Neurospora crassa OR74A: one gene and its partner. The protein of the gene in region 2 purifies or fractionates together with the protein of the main gene of each other region. This does not show direct contact. Links are inferred from orthologs where the notes say so. Each region holds a gene or a part of one and is shown on either strand. Other genes may lie near its edges.

Region 1 (4,288 bases), on a different chromosome or scaffold from region 2:
CACAGAACCCCCCTGGCGTCCTATAGTGATATTCTGTTTTGGTCGTTCCAATATTTGATATGCTACGTATTGGCGGTAGCGAAGAGGAAGAGTGGTTGTGTTGTTCTAACGGAGTACTTCGGGTTTGTCGGATACCAACTATGAGGGATGGTGCTCTAACGCGGATGCCAGAATCATGCGGAATTCTGAAAAATATGGTGAAAATTCGAAGTCAGTGTTTGAACCATGAGAGATCTTTCTGGCAGACGACCGACACCTGGATCTTCATTCAAGCTGCAGGTCTTGATCGGTTTAGTTTTGAGGACCAAGCTTTGGATCATCAGGAGCGAGTTGCAATCGGTTGTACTTTGTACAGTTCACATCTTGAGCCACGAAAAAAAGGTAAGTAAATCCACACTATGGAAGACCCGCTCGAAAATCAATAAATGAGTCGTCGTAGAAGCAGCAAACCACTGGTGTAGCAACTCAAGGACGAAATGCAAGATGATATTGAAGAATGATCAAAATCAAACAACAGGTGGTCACATTGTCAACGGACCACATACGGAAACCCGTGAAATCTGTTTGATGCTATACTTAACATTTCAGTTTTACCAGGACAATATCGGGGCAGCGAAACCGGCGGACTGGAAACCGTTTCACCCTCTAGAATGAGAGTATCGGGTAGGCAACGTAACAGTAAGTTAACAAGAAGGCCAGCAAACATTGTTCATCAGAGTCATCAAGCCTCTGGGTTATCGAGAATTTGGATGGCATGGCAAGTCATCGGGGTAAAACGCTTCATTATGATACAAGACATGCCCAACCCAACGCTAGCTCTATTGCATGCCAAATTTCTATGAACCGTCCATGACCTTGCTGTTTGCCGTAGTTCGGTCGTCGCTTTCAGTACGGTAGGAAATGCAATAACATTAAGCGTAGAAGTTGACGGTCTGAACGCGTGGTCAGTAAGCAGCACACAAGCATTGGTTGTCTTGGGGAAAATACTCACTTCCTTCTTCTTGGCCTGCACCTCAGAAATAGCGTCAACGTAGTGTTCGTGTCCAATCTGATTCTTGCCCATACGGAGGGCAATCATGCCAGCCTCGACACACACAGCCTTCAGCATGGCACCGCCAAACTCATCCGTGCTGCGCGCCAACTCGCCCCAGTTAACGCCGGGGTTGACCTTCATCTTCCTGGAATGAATCTTGAGAATCTGTGCGCGTGCCTCCTCGTTCGGAAGAGGGAACTCGATCTTGCGGTCAAGACGACCGGAACGAAGCAAAGCGGGGTCGAGGACGTCGATACGGTTCGTCGCGGCGAGAACCTTGATACGGTCGTCAGAAGCGAAACCGTCGAGCTGGTTGAGGAGCTCCAACATGGTTCGCTGGACTTCACGATCGCCGGACTTCTCGCTGTCGAAACGCTTGGTACCGACGGCATCCAACTCGTCGATGAAGATAATTGACGGGGCCTTCTCTTTTGCTAGGGCGAAGCAGTCCCTTACGAGCTTGGCACCGTCTCCGATAAACATCTGCACTAGCTGGGGGCCAGCAAGCTTGAGGAATGTGGCATCTGTCTGAGCGGCGCAAGCTCTGGCAAGTAAAGTCTTGCCTGTTCCGGGAGGTCCGTACATCAAAGCTCCTATTCCTGAAGTTAGCAGCAATACCACAGCAGCGAGTTTCTGCTCCATCTTGGTGAAGACATACCCTTGGGCGCCTTGATACCGATCTTCTTAAACCGTTCGGCTTCCTTCATAGGCCACACAATAGCCTCGACAAGTTCGTCAATCTGTTTGTCGAGACCACCGACATCTGTGTACTTCTCCTGAGGCTTCTCGTCGACCTCCATAGCCTTGACTCTGCTGTCGTACTCGGCGGGCAACGTATCCAGAATAAGGTACGAATCCTTGTTAACACCGATGAGATCGCCGGGCTTCAACTTCTCGGGGTCGACCAAGCCGATGAGAGGGAGAAAGATGGTCTGTCTGGTCGATGTCTTGATGACTGCCGATTTACCCACGCGCGTGGCATCCAAGTCGATGTTGGCGCCCTCTTCGGAGGACTCGGCGGTCGGGTCAAGGTCCAAAAGTTCAACGACATTTCCTACGAGATACGGAAGTTGTCTGATGAGGCCAGCGTTAGTAGGGGAGGTTTCGCGGCTACTGAAGGCAAACCTTAGGGGAGTGTAGGGGGAATGTTTACCGGTTGTTGGCAATCTTTTCTTGGTTCTCCTTGATCTTGTCCTTCATGGTAGCCCTCTCATGTGATAACCGCTGGTATTCGCTCTTCATGATTCTGGCATCGTTCTCGAGGAGGCGCTTCCGCATCAGGATGTCCTCTGTGCTCAAACTCAGGATCTCCTCATCTAGGATGTCATCGGCCTCGGGCTCGGCATCCTTCATCTCGGCATCGCCATCTCCCTCTTTCTTGTTGTTCTTATCCTTGTCCTGATCCTTCTTCTTGTCCTCGCGCTCACGGCGATCGAGGTCGTCGAGTTCCTCAAGGGTCGACATGGCTGACGCAGACGGGTGCGAATGTGGGGTATCGGTAGGGAAAGTCGCAAGGGCGCAGAGATCGGGTTACTGATCCTCTGTATGTAATCTCCACGGAATTTGAAACGACGACGTGGAGTAGTAGTGGTGGTTAGTGATGAAAATCGCCGTTGTTTGCGTTGTGGTTGGGAGACCGGCGGTCGTGCTTGTAGTGCAGTGCTGCGTGGATGGTGGCAGTTGCGTGGTCGACATGCGGCACAGAGCTTCGAGTGCTGTCGGTGGTTGACCAGGAGCTGGGCTGCAGGCAAAAGCGCGACGTAACAAGGCCGGGTACCTAACGCCCCACAGTATGTACATAGTACTTCAGCTCTAGACCCCACTCTGACCCCAGAGTGAACCAGCCACAGCTGACTAACCACGCGGCATCGGCCATCCAGGTTCACGGTTTCAATTCAGTCGAGTTTCACTGCACGATCATTCATCTGCTGTGCTTCACTCAATTTCGATGTTCATGAAGTCTTAAACGGAGTTGACCAAAACCCTTGAGCTAGTCCCTTACGGGGAAGCGGCTCGATAACACAGGAATTGATTCGATACATCCCTCATCGGACTAAAAATATACCAGCGCATTACATTAGAGTACGAGAAGGCCGTATTCACACCTCTCGTCAAGTGTCAAGTATCAACTCTCCCAGGACAACCACGATGCCGGACTGATCCTGATGCGTTTGAGCCCCAATAACCACAGTCGTCTACTCGTCGTCCAAGATCCCGCTTGCTATCGGCCCAAAAATCGGTACTTCGTATCTGGAAACCAAGTCAGCTTTTGTCCACTCGTTTGGATCCCGGAAGACATACCTGTCTAACGTGTCGGCGTCCCTATAAGCATTAATAACCAGCCATCCTACCAACGCCAAATCCGCCAGAAATAACAGCCAGCTAAGGAAACTCGACCAAGAAATCAACAAATGAAGCACAAACAATGCCGTAAACAGCAGACTGGACTGCCATGCGTGGAACCTAATCCCCAGTTCCACATGTCAGCAACGCTAACTCCTCGACCATACCGAGAGATGGGTCTTGTTTCACTCACCTGACATAATCACTCTTCCGCTCCAAAATCAACAGCAAAATCGCTCCCAGCGGCGGCACTGCCAAATACGCCAAACACGCCTCATAATCCAGCCTCAGTCCCAAGCTCGTATCAAACTCGGACACCATCCCCTCTCGAGCGCCCAGCGCATTGAAATATTCGCCCATGCTTCCTCCTACTCCTCCTCCTCCTCCTCCACCACCACTGCCGTTCCTACTGTTGAACCCAATGCCACTGCCGATCCCATTGGCGGTGCCAGGAGTAGCACTCGGACTTTGATACCTGCTGATGCCCTCACCCGACCAAGCACGATGTGGTTGTGGGTGTAGAAGTGGCGGAGGCGATACTTGCGCTGGGCGCTGTTGGTACTTGTTTCCGCTGCTGGGGGAGTAGGAAGAACGGCGGCCGTAGTCCCATGATGTGCGTGGGGAGGAGGTGGAGTCGGGTGGTGAGATGGTGCGCCCATGCTCCGGGGGTGCGGCTTGGTAAGGTGCGAAGTCCATTGTTTTGTTTGTTCTTGTTTTGCCTTTCCTGAGACAGTTGTGATGTGTAGTAGGTTAGGAAATCTCGTGTGCGATTATTGGAATGCTCGTTTCGATTTGTAAGAGCGTGTCCTTGTGTCAGGTATGTATCGTATCCTTACGTGGTGGTCCCGTAACTCGTTATCGTCTCTTCGTTCCGGCCGTTGCTCGTTAGTGGTTGTATTTTGGAAGTGGCTG
Region 2 (3,966 bases):
TGAGGAACAAACGAAAAAAAGCATGCATGAAATGTTGATGGGTGGTTGTGCCCGATACACAGTGGATACGTCTAATGAACAAGTGAGGCAAGATGGTAGGTGATATACGGTTGTAGCGTATTTTCTCTAGCATAAGGCTCTGTCTCTTCTCTCTTCCCGTCTTATTTCTTGGCCGGCGATAGCACGATTCCATACCAGATTACTAGATACAACAGGGATGATGATGATGACTATTCCCAAGACCAAATTATAGGTATTGGGCGGGGTCTATCTAGGTAGTTTAGACTCGTGTGTGGTGTGTGTGTGTGTGTCTAAACATCTTAAATGCCCTCAAAGTCACCACCGAGATCATCCTCATCCAGATCGCCCTCCTGTATCTCCTTGGCCAAATCACGCTCGCGCTCTCGTGCTTCCTGGGCATTCTTCAGCTCGAGACGGTGCTGGTTCATGGGGAAACGCATGGCCTGCAAAGAAAGAATTTGTGAGCAACAAATCTATCATAACTTCTGGAATTTGAAAGGGGGAGAAAGAAAAAAAAGAAACATACCTTGACACTCTCATCATGCAGAGCCAAGCAGGCGCGGATACGGTCATGGAACGCCTCGGCCGGTTCGCTGGTGGCATACACGTCGCCCACCTCCTTACTCTTCATGAAGCCGCGCTCCCTGTCGAGCGTGGCCTCGATGACGCCGTCCCTGATCGCCTTGGCCACAATGTACTCGGCACTCTCCTCGCTGCCGAGGTGCAAGCGGATGCAAATGTCGCGGAGCGAAATGCGGCTGTAGCTCAAACTCATCATGCGGATGCCCGTCTTGATGACGTTTTGGCGCAGACGCAAAATCAAGCTATAGGTGCCGTCGCGGCGGAAGGTGTCGGCATGCTGGGCGATGGTGGTCTCGAAGTCCTCGAGGTTGCCGACGCGCACGGCGCGGACGAGCAGGAAGTACGGGTGGAGAGTGGCCTCCATGGTCAGTTGACGGAAGATGGCGCGGTCGGGGATGTCGCCCATGAGGAGCTCTACGACGAGCAGGAGCTTGGTGGCCGTCTGGCTGAAGCCAAGTGCGCAGGCGCTCGAGGGAGCCTTCCGTGTCGCCGCAGTGAGATGCTCATGGGCCTCGGTGTACCGTAGCTGAATAGCCCGGACACGGCCGAGGTAGTACAGGAAACGCGCGACCTGGTTGTTGGCAGCGTTCTCGGGGAACTGGGTATGCTGCACCAGCAGATCGGCCTGGGAGATATGCGACGTGAGGAGGTAGTTCCGGAGCAGGAGGACAATGACGGAAGCCTGGGTGTCGATATCCTTTCGTAGCACGGCGGTTCGGAGAGCGGCGAGGAGGATCGGGCGGATCGACACAATCGGCGACTGGGGGGAAGGCGGGAGGGGAGCGAGCTGCTCGGCAAAGAGCGAGAAGTAAAAGTACACCTTGGCCGAAAGGCTGTCTAATGTGCGGCGGTTGAGGGACTGGATACGCTCGGATAGGAAACGCGACAGGGCGAATCCGCGCTGGAACTGTTTGGTGTCGTAGAGGTGGACCTGCGCCAGAATGCCTAGGAAGATGTCGATCTCAGGAATCACCTCCTTGGGGTCCTTCTTGCCACCGTTCTTCGCTGGCGACTTGGATCCCGAGTCGATCTCCATGTCTGAGCTGCTGCCGAGAGTCACATTTGGCCGGTCGACAGCGAGCAGCAGGTGCTCGGCAACTTGAGTATTGGGTGAGGACGCGGAGAAGGTTTCTGAGACGACTTGTGCGAGGATGTCGGGCGTCAGGCGTTTCCGGATCGACGAGATGGATCGCAGTGCCCGTAGAGAGAATCTGGGATCGAACAGGGCAACAGCACGGTCTAGCAGCGCAAAGTTGCTCTTGATGTCTGCGCAAGCGAGTGATGGTTAGTTCAGCTCACAAAGATAGATGAAGCTGGGGACTGGGAAGGTACCGTACCGCTGATGGTTTGGGCGACGGGGTCGACCTGGGCCTCAACCTCGCCGGCCTTGGTGTCGTCTTCCATGGCAATGTCGCCATCGGCGTCGTTGGGAGGTTGCGCAGAGTTCTGCTTGTTCTTGGGAGGGGGGACTACGACGGTCATTTCGTCCTCGCCTTGCTTTCCCGACTTCTTGGTATCCTTGTCCGTCATGTCGAGATCCTTTCCACCCCAATAGCTTCCGTGCTCAAGTGGTTCCTTATCTGGAGCGGCTCCGGGTTTGGTTATAGGCTGGCTGGGCTGGAGGTCGTGGTTGCTGTGTTGGTAACGGCCCGATGGTCGATGGGAAACGGGGTGATGATGTGGTGGGGGTTGACGGTTGCGTTGGCGCGGTGGGTGATGTTGGAATGCTGTGGTGCGGTGATGATGACGCCGTTTTGGTGGGCAACCTAATAGAGCAGAGGTATGAGTTCGAGTTGCTTGGGGCGATCTCGCGAAGCGCGCCCTTCTTGCAAGCCTGGAGCAAGCACCTTTAGCAGCAGCAGCTGGCAGAGTCGCAGTGGATCTAGCTCTAGGCGGGGAATGGAGCACTAGAGGTAGAGAGGGAGGTATCTATGGGGGTGACTTCGTCGTCGGCGTTGTTAAGCGAGGGCCAAGGGCAAACTGCTTCGTCGTCGTTGTCGATGGATAACTACCTAGGTAATTCAATCCAAGCTGTGTACTCGGAGTTCGGTGCAGGAAAGGAAAGTTCAAGCTTCACAGACCCGTGTTTTGCTTGATGGGAGTTGTTGAGCTGATGATTGAAAGGAAGTACCTACCGGTCACGGTTGGGCCAGCATACAAGAGCGGACGACCAACTGAAGGGCCGCCCTGTGCAGTGAGTGAGTGCTATGGTGGCCTTCGGACAAGCTCCAGAAGAGCTTCACACATCTAGGCATTGTGATTGGCCAGATTGTCTTGAATGGGTCCACTGCGGCTCGTCACTGACGTTGTTGATGTGCTGCCTGTCGACGACGTCCAGGCAGGCTCGAGGCAGGGTACTTAGGTACTTAGGTACACCTTACATTACAAGTACTACAAGTGTAGGGTAGACAACATCCAAAACATCTTACCACCTCGACCACCAATGTAGACTTTTACAAACTGAGTTGGTCTTGGGAGACATGGCTCCTATTTCAGGATGGTGTTAGCAACCATTGCCTATACAATATATGGTCCTCGCTTTCTGTCTGCATTCCCAAGATGGCATTATCACGGGGTTGAATATGCATATGCCTCCTGAACCCTGCATCATCTGGCATATCACGGCAAATCTGCACTTGCTTGCAACCCATTATATTTGGAGCTTGTTTCGTAACCCATAAAGGATTGATGCTTCAACCTAAGCCATATTATGGGTAGCTCATGCCAGGGATAAGCATACAAGTATCCCGAGATGAATGTATTTCCTCCGTCTCATCCGGTACGCCACCCTTTTCCATTTCCCACCCCCAAAAGAATTACCACATCCATGCAAACAAGCGAGACCCGAAACCTCTTGTTCATTCTGGTCTGAATACCCTTCCATTAAAGATCCCCCTTGCCCGGCATGACCTTGGCGGCCTGCACCGCGCTCATCTTGGTGATCCACTGAGCATTGGGCTGCACCTTGCGAACCGTCCTGAGCTCGTCACTAGAGTAGCCAGGGATACGGATGTTGTAGGTACGCTCCAAAACAAGCTGGATATCGCGGATCTCAAGAACCTTGGATCCTCTCTCCTTTGCATTGCGGGACGCCGCGTGGAGGACACTCTCTGTAAAGCTATCGGCGAGACCAAGGACGGACTGAAAAGGAATGCCACGTTAGCTGGTTGTGTGGTGATGACTTTGTGAGTTTGCTAAAGGGGGTTAAGGAATGACCGCGGACTTCCGCAAAGAAAAACAAAGGATTATCAGGTTGCAAACAACGTACCTCCTCAACCTCAGGTGTCAAGAGATTTCCGTCTTGGCCCTCAGCCGTACCACCGCACACCTGCCGAACCAGCTCGTCCAGCTTCTTCTTGTTCA

Evidence for each region. The genes of interacting proteins can lie anywhere in the genome.
Region 1: the proteins of rpn-3 (region 2) and rpt-5 purify together in Saccharomyces cerevisiae (affinity purification with mass spectrometry; 3 studies listed by BioGRID). This does not show direct contact. The link is inferred for Neurospora crassa OR74A from reciprocal best matches to the Saccharomyces cerevisiae genes RPN3 and RPT5.

Annotation. Positions count from the first base shown.
Region 1 is NC_026504.1:3,450,359-3,454,646, forward strand, and holds rpt-5 (regulatory particle, ATPase-like-5 protein), read right to left. Parts: upstream 2,801-4,288; 5' UTR 2,498-2,800; coding exon 2,187-2,497; intron 2,108-2,186; coding exon 1,692-2,107; intron 1,627-1,691; coding exon 992-1,626; intron 933-991; coding exon 912-932; 3' UTR 435-911; downstream 1-434. Other genes in the region: NCU04413 (UPF0132 domain-containing protein), read right to left, coding at 3,229-3,283, 3,335-3,496, 3,570-4,072. UniProt on the Saccharomyces cerevisiae protein: The 26S proteasome is involved in the ATP-dependent degradation of ubiquitinated proteins. The regulatory (or ATPase) complex confers ATP dependency and substrate specificity to the 26S complex.
Region 2 is NC_026507.1:3,274,541-3,278,506, forward strand, and holds rpn-3 (26S proteasome non-ATPase regulatory subunit 3), read right to left. Parts: upstream 2,801-3,966; 5' UTR 2,134-2,800; coding exon 1,941-2,133; intron 1,870-1,940; coding exon 548-1,869; intron 465-547; coding exon 321-464; 3' UTR 27-320; downstream 1-26. Other genes in the region: NCU02223 (hypothetical protein), read right to left, coding at 3,487-3,744, 3,872-3,966. UniProt on the Saccharomyces cerevisiae protein: Acts as a regulatory subunit of the 26S proteasome which is involved in the ATP-dependent degradation of ubiquitinated proteins.